2 linked regions of the Danio rerio genome follow. The protein of the gene in region 2 interacts with the protein of the main gene of each other region in a biochemical or structural test. Links are inferred from orthologs where the notes say so. Each region holds a gene or a part of one and is shown on either strand. Other genes may lie near its edges.

Region 1 (10,522 bases), on a different chromosome or scaffold from region 2:
TAGTTGTGTTGTGTTGTAAAATGTGATTTGTTTTGTCCTCAGCCACCCAGTTTGAGCTCCACCAGAATCCTGGCGTCCAAAACGGCGCGCAAAATCTTTGATGAATCAGAGGTCAGTCCACTTTTACTTCGTCTCTGCACGTGTCTTCAGAATGAGCTAATATTATGCATGTTTATCTGATGTGGTATTAAATGTTTATCGACTTCTGGAGCGATGTCTTTAAGTTGTAGATAAAATTTGGCGGATTCTGAGCGCGCTAAGTTGGGCAGGTAACATCAAACTTATCCGGGTCTTTTTGGAAGAACAATGGCTCATTAAACTAGTCCAGCTGAACGGAATTAAAAACGATTACTTAAAACTAGGGTGATTTTTGTGTTTTATGCTAGTTAATAAAACAATGCATGAGTTTGGCGGGCGATTAGCTTGAGCTGATGTAATGTTGCATAAACGACGCAGAGTGTATGCTAAACATGCACTTTAAAGTGCGAATACTCCTTTTCTGTACAATTCGATCAATATTTAGATGGTTTTCTTATATTTGCACAACTTGGTCTGGTCAATCAGAAAAGCTCTTGTTTTGCCGAAAAAATATAGACCGGAAGTAGTATTACTGGGAATGATCAATGCACCAAAAGCAAACAAGATGGTCTTATTACTATTATTATTTATTTGTTTTCTGGTAAACGAAGGAAATCGTGCTAATATTCCAAGTTACAAGAAGTGGAAACCCAAATGGTGTATATAAAATGTTTGATACTTTAATACAGCTGAGTCTTCTCGTTCATACAAGCAACAACTTTCCATTATCTAAGACTTTTTTTTTTTTTTTTTTTTTTTTTTGGGAAATGAGAACCAAAGCTAACCAGACTTTAACGAACATTGTCAAATGCTAGCTTAGTTAGTAGCTTAGTTTTTAGTATATTTTTTATATACCATTGAATAACTTGCTATTATTATTTTTTACAAAATGGTCAAGAATTGCAAGTCTTGAATAAAATGGTTAATAGCCCAAACAGAAATGAGCTTATTGCTAAAGATTGTTTTTATCCTAGTTACATGCACCATAAGCCCTAACTCATGTTAGTTTGTTACATCAAACATGTTTTAATTGCAGGGGCAGTCGAAAGCAAAGAAAGGAGCAGTGGAGGAGGAGCCTCTTCTGAAGGAGAACCCCCATCGCTTTGTCATTTTCCCAATTCAGTATCATGACATCTGGCAGATGTACAAGAAGGCAGAGGCCTCTTTCTGGACAGCTGAGGAGGTGAACTTTAAAACATAACACCTTAACACCTAGAAATGCCTCCATTTAATATGCTGTCCTTACTAGGTGCACCGGTCAATCTGGTTTTGTCAAAGATCCTGAAAATTAGCATAAATATGAATGAGAAATTTATTAGAATTGATTTAAATTAGAGTATCTAATTAATAAATTTAGCAAAGTTTTTAATAAACATGTACCAAATCAGCAATTTAATATTCCTGCAAAAGTGCTAGCCATTTATCAAAACATGACCAAAGAGACAAGTTTACGAATTTAACATGCATTTATTAGTCAAATTTACAAGTTATTTTTTTTCACAACTAGTGCTCTTTAAATGTACTTGATATAATTAATCCTCCTTGTTCTCAAGCTATTAAGTAACTTGTCCTTTTCAGTGTGTTCTAATGGCCCTGAATATAATTTAAATGTCATTTAAAATTTGCATATTGCCCTTGGCTAATAGTTTAATGTAACATTCAGCCTTTATTTGCTAGCATGCTTTTTATAGTTGCAATGTTTTGAACACTTGGGTTTTTATTTTTTCTAAGGTTGATCTGTCCAAAGATCTGCAACACTGGGATTCCCTGAAAGACGAGGAGAGATATTTCATCTCCCATGTTCTGGCTTTCTTTGCTGCAAGTGATGGCATTGTCAATGAGAACTTGGTAAGCTCATAGGCAAACATTTACAGCCTGGCTGTCAGTCAATTTCTGAAGGGCCACAGTTTTGCTTTAGCCCTCATCAAACACAGCTGATCTAAATAATCTGTTCAAAAGAATCTTGAACCCTTAATTGGCTGCATCAGATGTTTGGTTAGGGTTGAAACAACTGCAGCGCTGTGGCCCCCTTCAGAAATTGACTTATACCTATGATTTTACAGGATTTAATTTTTTCCCTCCCCCCCTTTTTTTTAATTTATTTATTTTGTTAATTGGTCCTTACCACTTGTCTTCTGACTCTAGGTGGAGCGTTTCACTCAGGAGGTCCAGGTGACTGAAGCCCGCTGCTTCTATGGCTTCCAGATAGCAATGGAAAACATCCACTCAGAAATGTACAGCCTGTTGATTGACACCTACATTAAAGATTCTAAAGAGAGGTAAGTGTTTGGACCCGTTTTGAGGTTATTGGGAGCAATGATGAGTGGCGCAGGGGTACGTACCTCAGCTGATAATGGGAGCTGAGTGTTGACTGCTCAAAATCAGTGGACATGTGGTCAGCTGGTTGTAGGGTGTCAGCACGAAATTATCGCCTTGACTGAGCTCCCTAAAAATGCTCTTGTAAATGGTACCTAGTCATTTATCTGACTAATGAAATTGTTTTCTGTAGGGAATTTTTGTTCAATGCCATTGAGACAATGCCATGTGTAAAGAAGAAGGCTGACTGGGCACTCAACTGGATTGGTGATAAAAATGCACGATATGGTATGTTATAAACATACTTTATTAAAAAGGGGAAAAAAAAGAAAAATAATTATAATAAAGTATTAAAGGAAGTTTATTATTAAGTGACCGCTAATTTAAGTCTTGCACTGGTTACAGGTGAGAGAGTGGTGGCCTTTGCTGCAGTGGAGGGAATCTTCTTCTCTGGGTCTTTTGCTTCTATTTTCTGGCTAAAGAAGAGGGGACTCATGCCTGGACTCACCTTCTCCAATGAGCTGATCAGCAGAGATGAGGTAACCCTTTTGTCTACCTTAACCCTAGTATGCACCTATTGTAGAATGTGGTACTAATGTTTCTTATTCTTGCAGGGTCTTCATTGCGACTTCGCCTGCCTCATGTTTAAACACTTGATCAACAAACCATCAGAAGAAACCGTGAAGAAAATCATCATGAATGCAGTTGAAATTGAGCAGGTTTGTGAGCCTTCATAACAAGTGCTTTCAGTCAGGCCAGTGTTCATTTTCAGGTTTACACAAAGGGCAATGTTCATTAAAGTTCTTGCTGAATAAAGCTAGATAGGTTTCATCAGCATGACTACAGGGCAGTTGTTTTTACAGAATAAACTGCCCTGATGTATGTAATCTGGCTGCTTGTCACAGAACTGAACTATTAGATGTAGTAATTTAACTTTATTGAATGTAACAAACAAACATGACTGAACACAACCTGCAGTTCCAGATTTGAATTTTCTTTAGTTGAAGAGCTGCATGTTAACAATGGATTAATAAACTTACTTTTTTTTTTTCTTCTCTTGCATTTGAGTGCTAGAGTAAAGTAAAGCCAGATTTCGCTTGAATGATAAAGCTTGTGGTTTAGAAGACAGAACTTTTATTCCGCTAAACACCTGCCATAATGTACTTTCTTGCTTGACAACTTAACTACAATTGCAGCCTACAGTAACTTACTCAGCCACAAGATGGTGGCAAACAGTCTAAAAAAGGGGCAAGAAAGAACTGAAAATTGACTAATGGTCAAGATCACTGGTGCTCAACGCTGTACCTGGAGGTCTAGCTTCCTACAAAGTTCAGCTCCAACTCTGACCGAACACGCATGAACCTATTAATTAGAACTAACATGCGTTGCAATGTCTTTGGCTTTTCAGAATCAACTATTCCAGAGTGCTGTATAGTATTGAGATGTAGTGTGGTCGATCATATGATAGATATTCCCACTTTATACAGTTTTATGTGTGCTTTGACCACTTATTTATTGGAAAGGAGGGCCTATGTATCAGTCTTTTTTTTTTTTTTTTTTTTTTTTTTTGACCCCTTATAAATAAGGGACTAAACCAAATAAAAATGAATAAATTGTCTTTTTTTTTTTTTAATAATCAAGTCAAAGTATTTTCAATTGAATGGGTAGACAAGACCTGACAGGGTATGTACTTGCATTTTAGTGTCTTCTACTTGTAATTGCATCCTAAAGTAAAAACAATACAGGGCATATAGTTTTAATAATTTTTGTAAACCACAAATCTGACTTGTTTATCTTCCTAGGAGTTCCTGACTGATGCTCTTCCCGTGAAGCTCATTGGCATGAACTGTGACCTGATGAAGCAGTACATTGAGTTTGTGGCTGACCGACTGTTGCTGGAGCTGGGATTTGACAAGGTAGGTTTATTTCATTAGTCTTGAGTCTGCTCATGGTGGCAGTGTAGTCCTTGTAATGTCTAATGATCTGAGGTCTGTCACATGTCAAACCCGTTTTGTACTTTCAGTTCAACAGGTGGCACTTTAAGCGTCACTAACCTTCCAAATTGCCTTTCTAGGTCTATAGAGTGGAGAATCCTTTTGACTTCATGGAGAACATTTCGTTGGAGGGCAAGACCAACTTCTTCGAGAAGCGAGTGGGCGAGTACCAGCGCATGGGAGTCATGTCGGGAACTACAGATAACACTTTCACTCTGGATGCTGATTTTTAAAGACTCAATCTGAGTGCTTCAACGGACACTTAACACAAAACTATGGACTTCTGGGACTTTTGCTGTATAGTTTACATGTTTTTGTTTAACTTTGTTTTAGCGAGATTAGTATTAAATAAGCTTTTTATTTTTGTTTTACATAATAAAAAAAAAAATTTGAATTTCAACTTTTTGGATGAGGTATTGCTCGAAGTATCAAGTTAGGTTTTTCAAGATATGGTGGCTCAATTTAGCCCAGACTCTATTTCGTGTAAATGAGGTAAAATGAGTTATGGAGATTTATACTGCATTTAGTAGCTAGCTTGCCCCAGAGCAGACTAATAAGGCTAAGACTAATCCTAGTGATTTTCTGTTAGTAATTCATTTAAGTTACTCTGGCCATTTACTTATATTGGCAGTATAGATAATATTTCTCACTTCCATATAAAGTATGGGATCGACTCATAAATTAAGGTACAAATATAGAAACATGAATGGATAAAATAGATGCTCCAATATTGGGTAAGAGTATGCAGTTAGTTATTTAATAAACTTTCCTGCATAACATGGTTGACTTTTGGTCACATTTAACACAAAGTAAACCACTGCTAATTTGATGGTTATACTTTGGTGTAGGTAACTTTACAGCATCTTCCCAAACCAGAACAGGGTTCGAGACATTGCCACACTGTCCATCAAATTTTTTTTTTTTTTTTTTTTTTAAATCAATAAAGAGAAAAATCGTTACCCTGGCTTTCAGAATTTTACATTTCATAACTAGCTTTGCTATAAGAAGCCAATAAATAGTGATGTGTATATTAGGAACTGCCATTAAATGATTCAAGCTTAGTAAAAGAACTGTTCACCAGAAAATGAACCTTTACTTAAGGTTTACACCTGTGATCAAGTGGTTCCAAACTTAAGAATTGCTTTCTTGTTGAACACAAAAATATACTGTGGTGAATGGTGAAAAAGCCTGCTACAGACAACCATAGGAACAAAAAACTAAGTCAATGGTTTTTAAATTATTATCTTTTTCCCCCCACCAACATTCAGTTCAACGATTGCTTCCTTTTGAACACAAGTTTGATCAAAAGGAGAATTTTCATTTTACTGTGAGCTGTCACTTTAATTGAAGCCTAACAGTTAAATGCACTATGATGGTTTTCTTTATGCTCATCTGTAATGAACATCAATGCTCACATGGAAACTTCTAAAGCACTCAATATATTTATAGTAGCCATTATCTAGGGCACTCCTGGCATGAGCTGTTGAGCAGTCGCTCTCTTGTAAGTGCTCTCGGGACGTTTTGATACTATTTGTTCATGGGACAACATGCACATCAACTTAAGAAAGAAGTCTTTTGACCTTTTAATACGGCTCTACAATCCACAAACTTCTGCTTATTGCATGTACTCGAACACATGTTACATCTTTCATTGCTGTACGTTTCTATTTTAGAGTTTGGGCACAACTGCCATTGAGTTGTCAGTTGATTTGAGCTGCTGTGAAAACGGTGATGGATGGTCATGAAGGTCTGAATCTTACTGTTAAAGTGAGAGTATATCAGAATAAGAGCAGCGATTGACTCTTGGACATGTAGATTACTGCGAGGATCATTTCTCCAGGTTTTTCTCATTAGCGTGCCTGTCAGCGGTCCATTCTGACAACAGCTGCTTTAGTTGACCCATCCACACACAGTAGATCTTGTTAGCAGCCATTATATAACTAAACAGCACAGTGCTACAACAACAGGTATTATAAGCCTTATGTCCATTGTTTAATGGAATAGAGAACGATATATGCTAAAAATATAATATTTAAACTATAATTTAGTTTTTTTTGTACTGTATGGGAATTTGGGAGACTGATCTCTACAACTCTTTTTTAACTGACATCTTTAGCAGTCAGTGTATGTTTTTAGTCTTCCACACACATACAGTGTATATATATATATATATATATATATATATATATATATATAATATCATGGCCACTTTATTAGGTACACCTGTCCAACCGCTCATGAACGTAAATTTCTAATAAGCCAATCACATGGCAGCAACTCAATGCATTTAGGCATGTAGACATGGTCAAGACAATCTGCTGCAATTCAAACCGAGCATCAGAATGGGGAAGAATAAATAGAAAGGTGATTTAAGTGACTTTAAACATGGCATGGCTATTTGTGCCAGACAGGCTGGTCTGAGCATTTCAGAAACTGCTGATCTACGGGGATTTTCCAGCACATACAATTCTAGGATTTACAGAAAATGGTCAGAAAAAAAAAAAATCCAGTGAGCGGCAGTTACAGTATGTGGGCACAGATGCCTTGCTGATGCCAGAGGTCAGAGAATGGCCAGACTGGTTTGAGCTGATAGAAAGGCAACAGTAACTCAAATAACCACTCGTTACAACAGAAATATGCAAAAGAGCATCTCTGAACACACAACACAGTGAACCTTGAGGCAGATGGGCTACAGCAGCAGAAGACCACACCAGGTGCCACTCCTGTCAGCTAAGAACAGGAAACTGAGGCTACAATTTACATAGGCTCACCACAATTGGACGATAGAAGATTAGAAAACATTGCCTGGTCTGATGAGTCCCGATTTTTGCTGAAACATTCGGATGGTAGGGTCAAAATTTGTTGTCAACATGAAAGCATGGATCCATCCTGCCTTGTATCAACTGTTCAGGCTGCTGGTGGTGGTGTAATGTGTGTGGGATATTTTCTTGGCACACTTTGGGCCCATTAGTACCAATAGAGCATCGCGTCAGTACCACAGCATACCTGAGTATTGCTGCTGATCATGTCCATTCCTATATGACCACAGTTTACCCCATCTTCTGATGGCTACTTCCAGCAGAATAACGCACCATGTCATAAAGCGCGAATCATGTCAGACTGGTTACTCGAACATGACAATGAGTTCCCTGCACTCAAATGGCCTCCACAGTCATCAGATCCTCAATCCAATAGAGCACTTTTGAGATAGTGGAACGGGAGATTCACATCATGGATGTGCAGCAGACAAATCTACAGCAACTGCATGATGCTATCAAGTCAATATGGACCAAAATTTCTGAGGAATATTTCCAGAACTTTGTTGAATCTGTGCCACGAAGGATTAAGGCAAAAGGGGGTCCAACCTGGTACTAGTAAGGTGTACCTAATAAAGTGGCTGGTGAGTATATATGTAATATATATCTCCCAAATGATGTTTAACTGAGCAAGGAAATTTTCTCAGTATGTCTGATAATATTTTTTCTTCTAGAGAAAGCCTGATACTCAAATCAATACAACCTTACATTGTATGTTTCATATGATGAATCTGCTTGATGAAATGCCATGCAAACTCTGCAGCCGCCATCAGCTCAGAATATGATCCCCATCAGTCTCTTGAATAAGGCCGTGCAGGCTCGTGTCACAAACAGGTTGATCAACAAACTATTGTTCCCAAAGTAATGAATGTTTAAAAAGCATTTGGGCCCAACAGTTGCCACGCTCCAAGAGGGGGTCTGCTGGTGGGCGCAGCTGTCTGAAACAGGCAAATCCTGTGTCCCCTTCATGTCCATTTAAGGAGATGGGACCCTGTCAAAATGCTTGTGTTGGTCGCCTGCTTTGTTTGAGCACCGGGCCTCCCACACCGCAGCACGTCGCTAATAGATCATAGCACAGTAAATATTGCCATGCTAGAATTACAGCTGTTACTGTACTTTAATAGCCCAGTAGGAACACCCAAATTCATTCTCTTATGTTTCCTGCGTGTTTTTCTCCAGACCTCCATGTGGATCGTTTTTCTAATAATTAAGCAGCCCAGAGTAATTTGGCTGGCACTATGGTTATACCACCTTAAGGCATTGTTCAAATGTTTATGTAAGATATTTGTTAAGTTTGTTCTTAAAACAGTATTGACTAATTAAAAGAGATAAATCACCTCATCATTTACTCATACTCAATTGATTTTAATATTTTATTAATTACTTTCTTTTGTTGCAAAATTTTCTGAAAAAATGCCGTAAACAGCAGCCACTAACATCCATAATAGTAACAAAAAATATTAAATAAATGGCTTTTTTCCACAACATACTTCAGTATATTTTTCTTTATATCCAACAGAAAAATCTCGAACAAGTGGAGGACGGGTAAAGATGGCAGAATTTTCTATTTTAGCTGAGGTGTCCAAACTCGGTCCTGGAGGGCCAGTGTCCAGGAGAGTTTAGCTCCAACCCTAATCACACACACCTGTACCAGCTAATCAAGCTCTTACTAGATATGCTAGAAACTTCCTGGTAAGTGTGTTGAAGCAAGTTGGAGGTAAACTCTCCAGGACACTGGCCCTCCAGGGCAGAGTTTGGACATCCCTGCTTTTAGGCAATAGTTTTCAATTGCAAATATTAAACATGATTTTATTCTAGTAGTCTATTAACCTTCTATTTTTGGACTGTTGATTACAATTCACTGATACTATAGTTAAACTGCACTGTAAAAATTTATCAGTAAATAAACAGTTTTCATATTTTGGGATTCACAAGTGTTTTCTGTTTATTTACGGTTGTGAATCATATTATGGGACCTTGATCTCTTCTCTGTCAACTTTTGATGTTGAAAATGCAACTCTACAGTTTAACAAAGTGGCTTTTGTTGACATTTTAGTAGCTTGAAATAATATATTGTATAAACACAATATTTGGAAACAAGTTTTTTTTTACCTGGCAGTTTTTTTACAAGGTTGTTGTATTGTAATGTACAACACCGACAAACCCAGACAATGTCACATATTACATTTAACAAGGCAGCAATACAAAAGCTCCAAAAATACCAATTTATACAATTATAAAGGCTAACACAAAGTGTGTAACGTTTCGAGCACACCGGCTCTTCATCCGACTATTTAAACTACTAAAAATGTTAATAAAAGTCACTTTTTCGAACTTTTCAAGGTTAAAAGTTGATGGAAGAAAGAGCAAGATCCCATAATGCAATTCATAAGCCTAAATAAATGGGGGAAAAATAAAAACAGGAATACAGATTTATGAATATTTTTTATAGTGTTGCTATCAAGCAACTGAAAGCTCTAAAATGGCTCCTTTCAGAAGCAGCATTTCAAGAAAGGAAGGCACCAACGAACGTCCAAATCCAAATTCTGGATCGCTTCCTTTATTAGCAGGTACCTTTTTCTGATCTAATTTTGATGACAGCATAGATGCATCCTTCACTGTTGTTGATATCCCACAATCCTGAGCATTCCATTTCTGACTGCTGAGCTAAAAATATAAACCTTTATTGGTATCAACTTTTATGTAATGTATGTTCTTTAGTGAAATGTTCTACTTTTGATATCAGAAGTTACTACTTTAGTAAACAAATATTCTCTTAGTAGTCATGAAAGTTCTATCTAATTTAATGTACATGAATAGATGATTATGCTGGCTCAGAAATCTTTTTTTTTTTTGTTGAGCAAAACATGGTTAATTTTTGTAAGAGTTACAATCATCTTCAAAACTACTGTCAGTGATCTAACTGAGTGATCTCTTTAAATATGAAAACATTCAATTATCCACAGGGGTTCAGCCAATTTAAGAATACACTTCATATATGAAATCACCAATAAAATCTGCCACCAATGAAAATTTGTTTCTTGCTTAAATAGGAGGTTGAGATCTTATTTTTCAGGCTAGACAAGTGAATGTAAAATTGCACTCCATTTGGAACACCCTCCATTGCCAAAAACACAGTAAAATAGAGGAGTGTCTGTTATTTTAGTTTATCACAATTTAATTGTATTGCTACTTGCATTTGAATGTTCTGCCTAGCACATTGTATACATGCGCTCAGCAGTAGCAGCTCACACCTGGTACGTATCAAGTTGTACAAAGTCAATTGGTACGCAATGACTGATGGGTAAATTTCAATCT
Region 2 (11,230 bases):
ACTCTTTAAAGTGTGAAGTTAATCTATAGATTCACATTGTATGTGTATAATCTGCTTGTAGACTTACATACCATTAGAAGAATTAAGGTACTATGTAGAGTTAGAAAGGGGAGATGGTCTGAGTAAAGAACTAAGGATCACAAGAACTGGATGAGAAGAGAGCGGAAGATAGCCTGAGTAAACAACTAAGGTGTCACAAGAAATGGATGAGAATAGAGCAACACATGTGGAAACAGTTAAGTATAGATGGATAAGAAATATGGTTATCAGGTTTGGGTCAGGGGTTAAAACTAGGTGGGATCTTGTGTGACAAATCAAGAACAATGTGAAAAACAGCTGCAAAAGAGTATATAAGCAGGCCAGAACATCAGTGAGGCAGAATTTTCAGGCAGAGATGCTACTGGGGGTCTCCTAAAAAATCATCTTTGTTGTCGACAGTAAAGTATCATCTTCTGATATTCATAACCTCTAGACTGAGTTTGATTCACTAAGAGGAAAACCAAAAACCACAACAAGTGCTTATATTATGGTAAAGTGATTTGGATAAATGAATGGTTAAACTAATTGCCTGATGGTTAGAGAGTTAGAATTGTGATCGGAAGGTCAAAGGTTCAAGTCTTGGGAGTCTCCTGGAGGGATTGTCTGTGGTGGGAGCGAATAGCCAGCGCTCTCTCCCCCCTCAATACTGCAATGCTCATTATCCCAGTGCTGAGTTGAGTCCCTTGACCAAGGTGTTTTCCTGCTGCTTGTGTGGGTGGGTGTTCACTTCTGTGTGTGTGCTCTTGAATAGGTTAAATGCAGAGCACAATTTCCGAGTATGGGTGGCCATACTTGACCACAACTTTGACTTTCACTTTTTTCCCTTTCACTTTTTACTAAGTTAGTGTACTCCCAGTTAAGGATGCAACGATTATAGATTTTAATTGTAAGATTATAGTCTGTGGAATAATCACAGTTTCACGGTTATAGCAATTATTATGCATTCATTAATTTCAAAACATGACTAGTTTAGTAAATCACATGAAAACTTCTTATTTTTTAAAGTGTTGTCTATTGTTGCTCAGTAACCAATCAACACAGCACAGAAAACAAATAATAGCCCGTTTACCTTTGGAACTGAAAAAACATTTTTGTTTTTACATACGTTTTACATACAAACATACGTAACAATTTTACACTGACAAATTAATTTAATTAAAATTTAAATAAATAATAAAAATTGTGTTTGTCTAATGTAAATTTAAGCTTCATACTCGCTAAGTATCTTCCTTTTAAAGAGAACAAATTTGGTCAAAGGCTGCTGAACCTCTGTCTAAAAGGCACTTTTGATCAACTATATTGCTCAATTGTTTAGTATTTTTTTGTTTAGTATTTTTCTTTATCTCTTTACTGTAGAAATGTGTATATTCCATAAAAAGTATGACGCTGATCTGTTTCGTGACTTGCAGTACACTCGCGGCGTGTTGTGCTGCATGAGTGTTGCTCCTAATATGAGCGTGCAAGTCGCACGCCTGTATTGGAATTAATAAACTTGCGCGCACAAAAGAAGCAATATATGAACAGCCCTTAGTTATAGCCTCAGCCATAGTTAATCCAGTGTGCGTGCATATTAGCCTTGTTGTACACGCTTGGAACTTTAAACTAGCCCACAATTGGCTTAACTTTGTTTAGTTGCCCTAGTTTTGTTCCATGCAGAAACACAGTGTTGATAATCTTTTACGAATAATTAATCGTGACGAATTAAATCGCGGTTAATAGTGAAATCTGTTAATCGTTGCATCTTTACTCTCAGTGCTTGGTTGTGGTATGAAGGGAATCCATCAGTAAAATATATGCCAATTGGCAGCTCATTCTGCTGTGGCATCCCCTGATAAAGCAGGGAATAAGCCAAAGGAAAGGACATTTTTAGCCATACAAATAACTGTGGCACACAAATGTTTAACAAACATGATAAGACTGCTGTGTTTGCAATAGTTTGCTCATTTTTGTTAATATTTGTTATAAAACATTTGACGAAGCTTAGTCTCTTTATTATTCTGAGATCGCCATGAACCGCCAACTAATGCGACATATGTTTTATGCAGGGGGTGCCCTTCCAGGTGCAACCCATCACTGGGAAACACGCACACACAGTCATTTACTCACAATTTAGCCAATATAGCGTACGTCTTTGTACTGTGGGGGAAACCGGAGCACCCGGAGGAAACCCAGCCGAACACGAAATGCCAACTGACCCAGCCGGGGCTCGGACCAGTGACCTTCTTGCTGTGAGGTGATCGTGCTACCCACTGCACCACCGTGACGCCCCAATATTAGATGTTACAAAATTGTAGATAAACACAAAACACACTCACACACTGTCCTCCAGCTTTGGCCCTAATTTATTAAGGGTCACCACAGCAGAATGAATCATCAATTACTCTGGCATATGTTTTATGCACTCATAAACCCCACACATACAATCACATACAATCTATCATTCACACACACTCATACAATATAGCCAATTTAGTTTGTCCAGTTCACCAGTATGCATGTCTTGTGGTAGAAACTCGTAAACACAGGGAAAACATGCAGAAATGTCACCTGGACCAACTGGGACTCAAGCCAGCGACCAGTAAGGAGATAGTGCTACCCACTGGGCCACCATGCCGCCCCTTAAACACACTTTACTTGCTTGTAGTTTTTATTACCCATAAGTTGGAAACTGTGGAATAGAAGGTGGCACGGTGGGTCAGTGGTAAGCACTGTCGTCTCACAGCAAGAAGATCGCTGGTTCGAGTCCTGGCTGGGTCAGTTGGCATTTCTGTGTGGAGTTTGCATGTTCTCCCTGTGTTTGTGTAGGTTTCCTCCAGGTGCTCCGGTTTGCCCCACAGTCCAAACACATGCGCTATACATGAATTGGGTAAGCTAAATTGGCTGTATTGTGTGTGTGTGTGTGTGTGTGTGTGTGTGTGTGTGTGTGTGCGTGTGTGTGTGTGTGTGTGTGTGTGTGTGTGTGTGTGTGTGTGTGTGTGTGTGTGTGTGTGTGTGTGTGTGTGTGTGTGTGTGTGTGTGTGTGTGTGTGTGTGTGTGTGTGTGCGTGTGTGTGCGTGTTTGTGTGAATGAGAGAGTGTATGAATGTTTCTCGGTACTGGCCTGCATCTGGCTGCTGTGTAGAACACATGCCAGAATAGTTGGCAGTTCATTCTGCTGTGGTGACCTCTGATAAATAAGGGACTAAGCTGAAGGAAAATGAATGAATGACTGTGGAACAGAATTGCAAAAACATCTAGTAAAAAAACACATTGCAGATGCCAGATATAAAGAAAATTATGTACTTTTCCACAACTTCTTAAACTTTTGATTGCAACTTTAAAAAATAATTCATTATCTCTGAAACTTACCTCAGATTTGGTTTTATGTAGTTATTTACATGCATGAAGTTACAAAAAAATACCAGCAGAGGGCCATGCTTAACCCGGATGCCTTTTGTAATGGTTGGCCACTATGTGTCGCTATCTATAATTTTTTTTCTTTGCAGAAATATTTCACTTCTTGGAAATGTCTTAATTTAACCAGTGTTAGACCATTTTGAGTATCTGTACATTGTCATATTCATGTACTTTTACAACCATGTAAGTAGCTTTTCAGCTGTTTGATTATATGTCATTTCTTTTTGATACTCAAAAAAAAAATGTAACGACTACTTTCCTCTTCCGTCTAGTAAAACTGACAGCGACGAGGACGAAGAAGAAGGAGCGAGAGCCCATTAGCTGAGATTTGTTTGACGGAAATGACGAAGTCCATTCTGGCGGCTTTTAGCGCGCTAAGAATTTCATAACAACAGTCTGACGGAGCAGCTGAGAAGCCGGCCAGCAGTGCAGCCCTTTGTCCGCTAAATAAACCTGATCATTTTTATTAAAAAGTGTACAGTTTTTCTTCTCGCTGGCCTTTCTAACTTTACCAGATACCTCAATCATGCACGTGATCAAGAGAGGTAACACTTTTACTCTTCCTTAAAATAACGTTACTGAACTAGAGAAATATATACAAATGTAATGTAATTGCGGTTTATAAAATGTTCTTATCGTAACCATTATTAACCTGTATTATGTCTGTACATCGTGAGCGTTAGTTGAGCTAACGTTATAATTTACAAAATGTTTTGCCGTTAAGAGATGAACGTCAGTCAGTTTAGTCTGTTTAAAATATTGATGAACACCACACATATTTATTGATTGACTGTTATTGGGTTCATTTTTGTAACTGCATAATTTAATATTTGAGAATAACATAATTGCGTCCATCTTGGCAGCAGCCGATGTTCACGTAACGTTAGCTGTTCCCTTTGTTAACTCAAAGTTGGCGCGAATCGCTTCGTTAAAGTAGGTCAAATTTTATTTGACAGTATTTGGCTTGAATATCGAATATTAAGTATATTGTGATTTAATAGACTATGCTAGCTAAAATGTGCAATGCTATACTCGCGAACAGCACATTTTATGGACCTTTCATATTATTTGCGTTTCATATCCTGTTCATGTATCATTGGTTATAGATTTGTACTGTTATTACATTTATATGGTTATCTTTAAATAATTTGTTTTATGACTATATTTTTTTTCACAGATGGGCGCCAGGAGCGTGTAATGTTTGACAAAATCACATCACGCATCCAGAAACTTTGCTATGGACTCAACTCTGACTTTGTTGATCCAGTAAGTTGTGAAATGTCCATCAAGACATCTTAAATTTCAACCTACGTCTAGTGCAATTATTTATTTACTTTTTTTATTTAATGATTTAAGAAAATCCAGTTTTTCTAAAAACTGACCCTAGTTTGAAAGCTCATGTGAGTACTCTCGCTTCTTTTCCTCTGTTGGGCCAGTATTGACAACAGACCGGGTCAAATCAACAGCTTCAGACCTCAATGAGTGGAGAACTCCTCCCCTAACCCCACCCCTCACAGTGACGTCACTAGCTCCATTGAGTGCATTGTGTCTTGACATTTATTGCATTTCCGAGACATGCAATGTCAGTTTGCATATGAAAGTCTGCAAGCAAATGCTATTAAAATTGTTAAGGCAAAAATAGATTAGCAGCATTAAAACCTGCTTTTAACACACCACCACAGAACCGCTCAACACAACTTTACTAGACAAAGGGAAATTGAATGAAAATTGGTTAATCACAACAATTAAACTAAAGTGAGCAGTTTGTATTTACCTTTTAAACTCCAGATTCTACATATGACCAATAGTTTAATACATAAATTGACATCAATTTGTTGTTGTAATTTTTGCAGGTGTAGTGTCCCTCAAAAAAAAAAAAATATATATAATTAGCTTTTAGCATCACGTAAAAACAGACCCAGATATTGATCAGAATCCTTATCACATGATCAGGAGTTATTTCAGGCATGATTAATGGGCAGCATGCGTAACTCTCCTGAGTTAGGTAAATGCTGTTTTTGTTAATGACCACTCCTCAAGCCCTAGTGAGCCCACTTTGACCAAAGGCCCCAAGGCCAAAAATAAATTGCACTTTCCCCAAAATGGATCAGTGATTTATTTATTTTTTTCATGTCACCTTGTGCTTCAGTTTCTCATTAAATCTTCTGCCCAATCAAATGCTCTCTAGTATCTGACATGTCCTGTCACCTTTAAGACATAATTGCCATCTGTGCTTGAGCTCAACCACTCTCACTGGCAGGGCAATGATAAACTTAACTCGATTGCTGTTTTTGGGGGGGTGAGGAGCCGTTTTATGTCCTGCCCTGTCTTCATGTTTCAGTTTAAATTACATCAACAACAACGCACATTTCAAAGCACTTTACAGAATGTTTAAGAGTGGACACCCTAGTAATATTTGTGCCAAGAAGATCATTAGCCTTACAAAGTTCTCATGTATCCAAAACATAATATTAAAAACTCGCACAACATCCAGTCTTCTTTTAGTCCTGTATTATACTGGAGGTAAAATTTTCTAAGAAACCAAATGAGAAGATCTAAACCTAAATGGTTGCAACACGCATGATTTTGCTCTGCAGACTCAGATCACCATGAAGGTGATTCAGGGCCTTTACAGCGGCGTTACTACAGTAGAGCTGGACACACTGGCTGCTGAGATCGCTGCCACCCTCACCACCAAACACCCTGACTATGCCATCCTAGCAGCCCGCATCGCCGTGTCTAACCTGCATAAAGAGACTAAAAAGGTTTTCAGTGGTGAGTTGCGACAACCATTGATTTAACTTCAATGATTTAACTTCAGTTGAATTACAGTGTTTATAAAAACTTGCCTTCTTCCATCAACAGAGGTTATGGAGGATCTCTACAACTACGTCAATCCCCTGAACAGCCGCCACTCGCCTATGATCTCCAAGGAGACGCTTGATATTGTTTTGGCCAACAAAGATGTAAATATGCACATTTACACCAGCCACAAAGTGATTTGTTTATTTATTATTTTTTAAAATCTAATGTAGAATTAACATTATTTTTCTTTATTCTAGCGCCTGAACTCAGCCATCATTTATGACAGGGATTTCTCTTACAACTTCTTTGGCTTCAAGGTAATTCTAAAATAAGAGAAATTGCTAGTTTGAATTCATAAGCGATGCTAATCTCAGTTTTAACCTTTCTTTTAGACATTGGAGCGCTCATATCTGCTGAAGATCAATGGAAAGGGTAAGTCATTAATGGGTCTTAGGAAATTTAGACATGCAGTTCTGCGAATCAATTCTCTTAATCAAAGCAACTTTATACTTCTACACTGAATATTTGCAGTAGGTCCAGTGTATCCTTAAGGTTGATTTATACTTCTGCATTGAATGATCACCAAAACTCACGGCGCATGCGTCTATTTTTCTGCGCTGTGTTGCTCTGGCAATAAAACCTCAGAAATAAAAAAAAAAACACAAAAAAAACACCTATCAAGTTGACCAATCACAAAGCTTTCAATATGCATGGTGACATAGTTAAAAAAATTGAGAGGTGTGTGTGTGTCAGGGTTGGCAACTGCAAATGATGTGCTGGCTCATCCATGTGCACTAATCACAGAATTATTTATCAGGCTTTAGCTACATCTCATAACTATTTCCAAATCCTGATGTGCAGCTTTAAACAAGATGTCTACATGTCACCAGAAGAATAGGGATGAGAAACAAAAAATTGACACATCGTGATTTTTAAAAAAAATTTCCCTAATGATTCTGAATCAGTTCTCAGTTTAAATTAGATATGCCGGCCTGTGTGAGTTAAAAGCAAAGAAATAAGCATTGACGGGTATGCGTTCATATGCTGCCAAACAACACAATTCAGAAGTCCACATGTGTTTGTTGAAATAAACACAGCACATTTTACAATAAAATGGTAATTACCTAAATTACCAAAAGATGCCTTATTACCAAAACATGCCTTATGACACTTTGAAGTGGGGTTGAATAAATGTGTAATCTGCATTTTGTGCATGTAAACAGATGGCTTTTTAGAGTTGTTGCTTGGTAATGCAAAATAAATACAGCATCTCCCATTTTCAAAAAAAAAAAAAAGTCCCGCATAAATGGTAAGATAATATAAACATAAAATTAACTGGGAGGAAAATGGTAATTCTCACTAGGAAATGTTGTGGCTTCTTAAACAGCCTGAGGCATGTATATCAATTACTTTAAGTGATATAAGTCTGTGTTTTTGCATGAATGCTAATGCCGTTCCGGCTAATGTAGAACCTGACCTAAAGTACATGCAAATGATAGGGAGTGGCCAGTGAGTCATACAAGAGTCCATTGTTCTGATTGACTTGCGATTATCGGGGTTTTACATTTGCTGTATTTACATTAGAACGAGGAAACCATAGTGAGGCTCACCGTATGCTCATTTCTATACTGAACTATCATTATTCGACTATGCCTAGGTATATCCAGATTGTATTTGTAGGGCACATATATGATTTCTAGAATGTCGTGTTTGGCTGGATTCAGGATGTTGTTCAAATATCTGCCGCACCAAGTTGTTAGCGCACTCTTTCAGTGTGTAAATCAATGCAGATAGGGTGGCATTAATGGGATGCATGGACACTTGACTACAACAAAATCACGTCATGTTATTGCACAGTCCATTACAGATGAGTTAAGGCTTTCGGCTTGTTCTGCAAATGCAGGTTGTGAATGAAAGCGAACTACTGCACGAGCAAATTGTTGCAAACTAATTAAAAATTGTAAATCTAAATCAGCCAAGAAAATTGCAATTGGTACGTCTGTACCAGTAACTGTTCTGTAACTAAATATCATGATGACACAATATTGTACCCAAGGCACGGAGCTTATTTGCAATTTAAAGCGACAGCAGCATCAAGCATCACTCAAAAAAGGCACATTTACATCAGGGTATAATAATGTCCATGAGGTATTTTAAGCAGAAACTTCAGCCACATTCTGGAGACGCATAACACTTATATTACATCTATGCAAAACAGTCAAATTGTGAAACGAGTAAACAAGGAGGGCAGGAAAAGAGTGACGACGATCTAAAGAACAGACCAAAGTTTGCTTTCATTTCCAGTGAGAGAAATGCAAATGAGATGAACAAAAAAGACTAACCTGAACAACTGAAGCAAAGATTCTTATACCTTGAGTGCTTTTTGTTTTCAGTTGCCGAGCGGCCGCAGCACATGCTGATGAGGGTGTCCGTAGGCATTCATAAGGAAGACATTGCGGCTGCTATCGAAACCTACAACCTGCTGTCTGAGAAGTGGTTCACTCATGCTTCTCCTACTCTGTTTAATGCGGGCACCAACCGGCCTCAGCTCTCCAGGTAAACACTAAGAACAGTAACGCTGCAATTAGACACAAGAGGGCAGAATTTCTAAATTAATGTTTAATTGATGTAATACAAACCAGTGCTTCTTTTTTTTAAATGTGTAGTTGCTTCCTGCTTGCTATGAAAGATGACAGCATTGAGGGCATCTATGACACCCTGAAGCAGTGTGCGCTCATCTCCAAGTCTGCCGGTGGCATCGGGGTGGCAGTGAGCTGCATTAGAGCCACTGGCAGCTACATTGCAGGAGTGAGTGTTCTCTGATTTTAAATTTGCTTCACTGTAAGGCTTTTTGATATGAGCAAATGATCATGATTAAATTCATACGATTAATTAATCTCTGTTGATATTTAATAATTATTACTATGCATGTCAAATCTCATTTAAAGACAGCGTACAAGCCTTTGTTAATTTAAACTACTTTTATTATTATCAAAACATCACAAACACCTCAACCAAATGAACATTTTGCAGATATGGGGTACAGTATTCATAATAATATGAAAACTTAATCTTTTTGCCAGCCTTCATCCTATGCTAAATAATTTTATTGATTTATGTTTGGTAAAACAGAAGCTGTAAAATTGTATTTAAACATCCTGTTTTTTATTTCTTTAATTTAGGTGTCATCTATATCATTTAGGTCAGGGTTGTCCAAACTCAGTCCTGGAGGGCAGGTGTCCTGCATATTTTAGTTCCTACTGCAATTAAACACACCTGAACCAGCTAATCAAGCTCTATATATACTGGAAACTTTCAGGGAGGTGTTGAAGGTAAACTATGCAGGACACTGGCCCCCCAGGACTGAGTTTAACACCCCTGATTGAGGTCTTCGTAATCATTGGTAATACTCGGTTACCTGCATAAGTACCTCATCATTGCAATGTTGAAATGTAAAGTGTGAAAAGCGTTAGGCTGAATATGTTGAGTACAAATTCAGGTGCTTTTAAACAACTATTACAGTTTTTATATTTCATTACTCCTTTATTACAGTTTACACGTCTACATTAAAAGTGTGATTGGGGATGCTGCTAATATTTGATTTACCGTTAACTGAAATAATTGTGTTTTTTTTTTTTTTATCTGATTCATGGTATCTGTTGAACTGTTAAATGGTATTGATGGTTTCAGTTAAACAACAGATTGCTTTGATTTAGTGTACAACCAACAAACCAACCTTTTTTCAATATGGAAAATTACAGTTATTAATAGTTTTTATAAAAAATCCATTCTTGATCTTTCCATAACACCTCACCAAACCGAGACTTTTATTTTATAGCTATATAACCTACAAAACATGTTTGCAAATCAGTGTAATACTATATGTAAACGAAATTAGTACATGCTAAAGTAACATGTAGCCTCCTTTAAAAGTCAACATATGCACCTTTTTATCTCGTTCCTAATCTAAGCGCAGTCGCAGCAGTGTCGGCGGGGTCTTAAAGTGTTAAAAGTTGATAAATCAATTGAGAAAATTAAGGCCCTTAAAAGAAATTTAGAAAGTCGTAATCTTGTTTTTACGAGGTCTTAAATTTTGTTCAAGCAATGTCCAAAGTATTTGACTTCAAAAAAGCATAAATATATTTATTTTCCTCCTAATATTAACAACGGTGTGCTCGATCCACACGATTGCTTCGGGCCGGGGCCTCTCCGGCCAAGCTCCTCCGTCCGGGTGATGTCCCGTAACGCGGGAAGGTGATAAATGCAAGCTTGCATACTCCTTGTTAGAGGAAGACAAGTTTAAACGGTGACTGAAGCCTGTCGCTGAAAACAACCACATTTATTATTTCAAGCTTTGTTTCTTCTGAGCTTGTCTGAGTTCTGTTGCATGTTGTGCTCCATTGATTTATTTAACTACAACTGTTTATTAGCAACTGTTTATTAAGTTAAAGGTTTGATACTGATTAGAACTTAGTGGCGATGAGGTCTTAAAATATTCTGAGAAGGTCTTTAAAAGGAAAAGGTATTGAAATTACCTTTTAGGATTCCTGCATATAAACTGGACCGGTTAATATTTGGTTAACATGCGGCGGTTTATCGGTTTGGAAAATTAACCAAAATGAGACTCCATAAATGTGATGCATCTTTCTCACAACTCTATGGTACAGTTACTGGTACAATGGTATATTACATGGAAGAACCTTCTAGCTGAATTTTTCTATTTGTCAGTGACTTACTTTGAAACATGAACATTATATCAAGCAATAATTGTTTTATCAAGTGAATGTTCTTTTGCAATAATTATCATTTATAGTTCAATCACCCAAATCATACTATTAGACTCAACATTTGGATTTACTTCATGTCTTGTCATTTAGACAAATGGTAACTCAAATGGCCTGGTTCCTATGCTCCGTGTCTACAACAACACCGCACGCTATGTGGACCAAGGGGGAAATAAGGTAACGTGTTTGCAAAATGTGACTTGTGTA

The links. The genes of interacting proteins can lie anywhere in the genome.
Region 1: the proteins of rrm1 (region 2) and rrm2l form a complex in vitro, tested with the Homo sapiens proteins (3 studies listed by BioGRID and IntAct). The link is inferred for Danio rerio from reciprocal best matches to the Homo sapiens genes RRM1 and RRM2.

What each region holds. Positions count from the first base shown.
Region 1 is NC_133195.1:32,243,153-32,253,674, reverse strand, and holds the end of rrm2l (ribonucleoside-diphosphate reductase subunit M2), read left to right. Parts: intron 1-42; coding exon 43-111; intron 112-1,114; coding exon 1,115-1,261; intron 1,262-1,809; coding exon 1,810-1,926; intron 1,927-2,223; coding exon 2,224-2,357; intron 2,358-2,388; exon of another isoform or gene 2,389-2,524; intron 2,525-2,587; coding exon 2,588-2,682; intron 2,683-2,799; coding exon 2,800-2,933; intron 2,934-3,008; coding exon 3,009-3,113; intron 3,114-4,196; coding exon 4,197-4,310; intron 4,311-4,468; coding exon 4,469-4,621; 3' UTR 4,622-5,347; downstream 5,348-10,522. UniProt on the Homo sapiens protein: Provides the precursors necessary for DNA synthesis. Catalyzes the biosynthesis of deoxyribonucleotides from the corresponding ribonucleotides. Inhibits Wnt signaling.
Region 2 is NC_133196.1:33,449,017-33,460,246, reverse strand, and holds the start of rrm1 (ribonucleoside-diphosphate reductase large subunit), read left to right. Parts: upstream 1-3,792; 5' UTR 3,793-3,960; coding exon 3,961-3,979; intron 3,980-4,611; coding exon 4,612-4,700; intron 4,701-6,031; coding exon 6,032-6,209; intron 6,210-6,299; coding exon 6,300-6,400; intron 6,401-6,496; coding exon 6,497-6,556; intron 6,557-6,631; coding exon 6,632-6,671; intron 6,672-8,632; coding exon 8,633-8,795; intron 8,796-8,905; coding exon 8,906-9,047; intron 9,048-11,116; coding exon 11,117-11,200; intron 11,201-11,230. UniProt on the Homo sapiens protein: Provides the precursors necessary for DNA synthesis. Catalyzes the biosynthesis of deoxyribonucleotides from the corresponding ribonucleotides.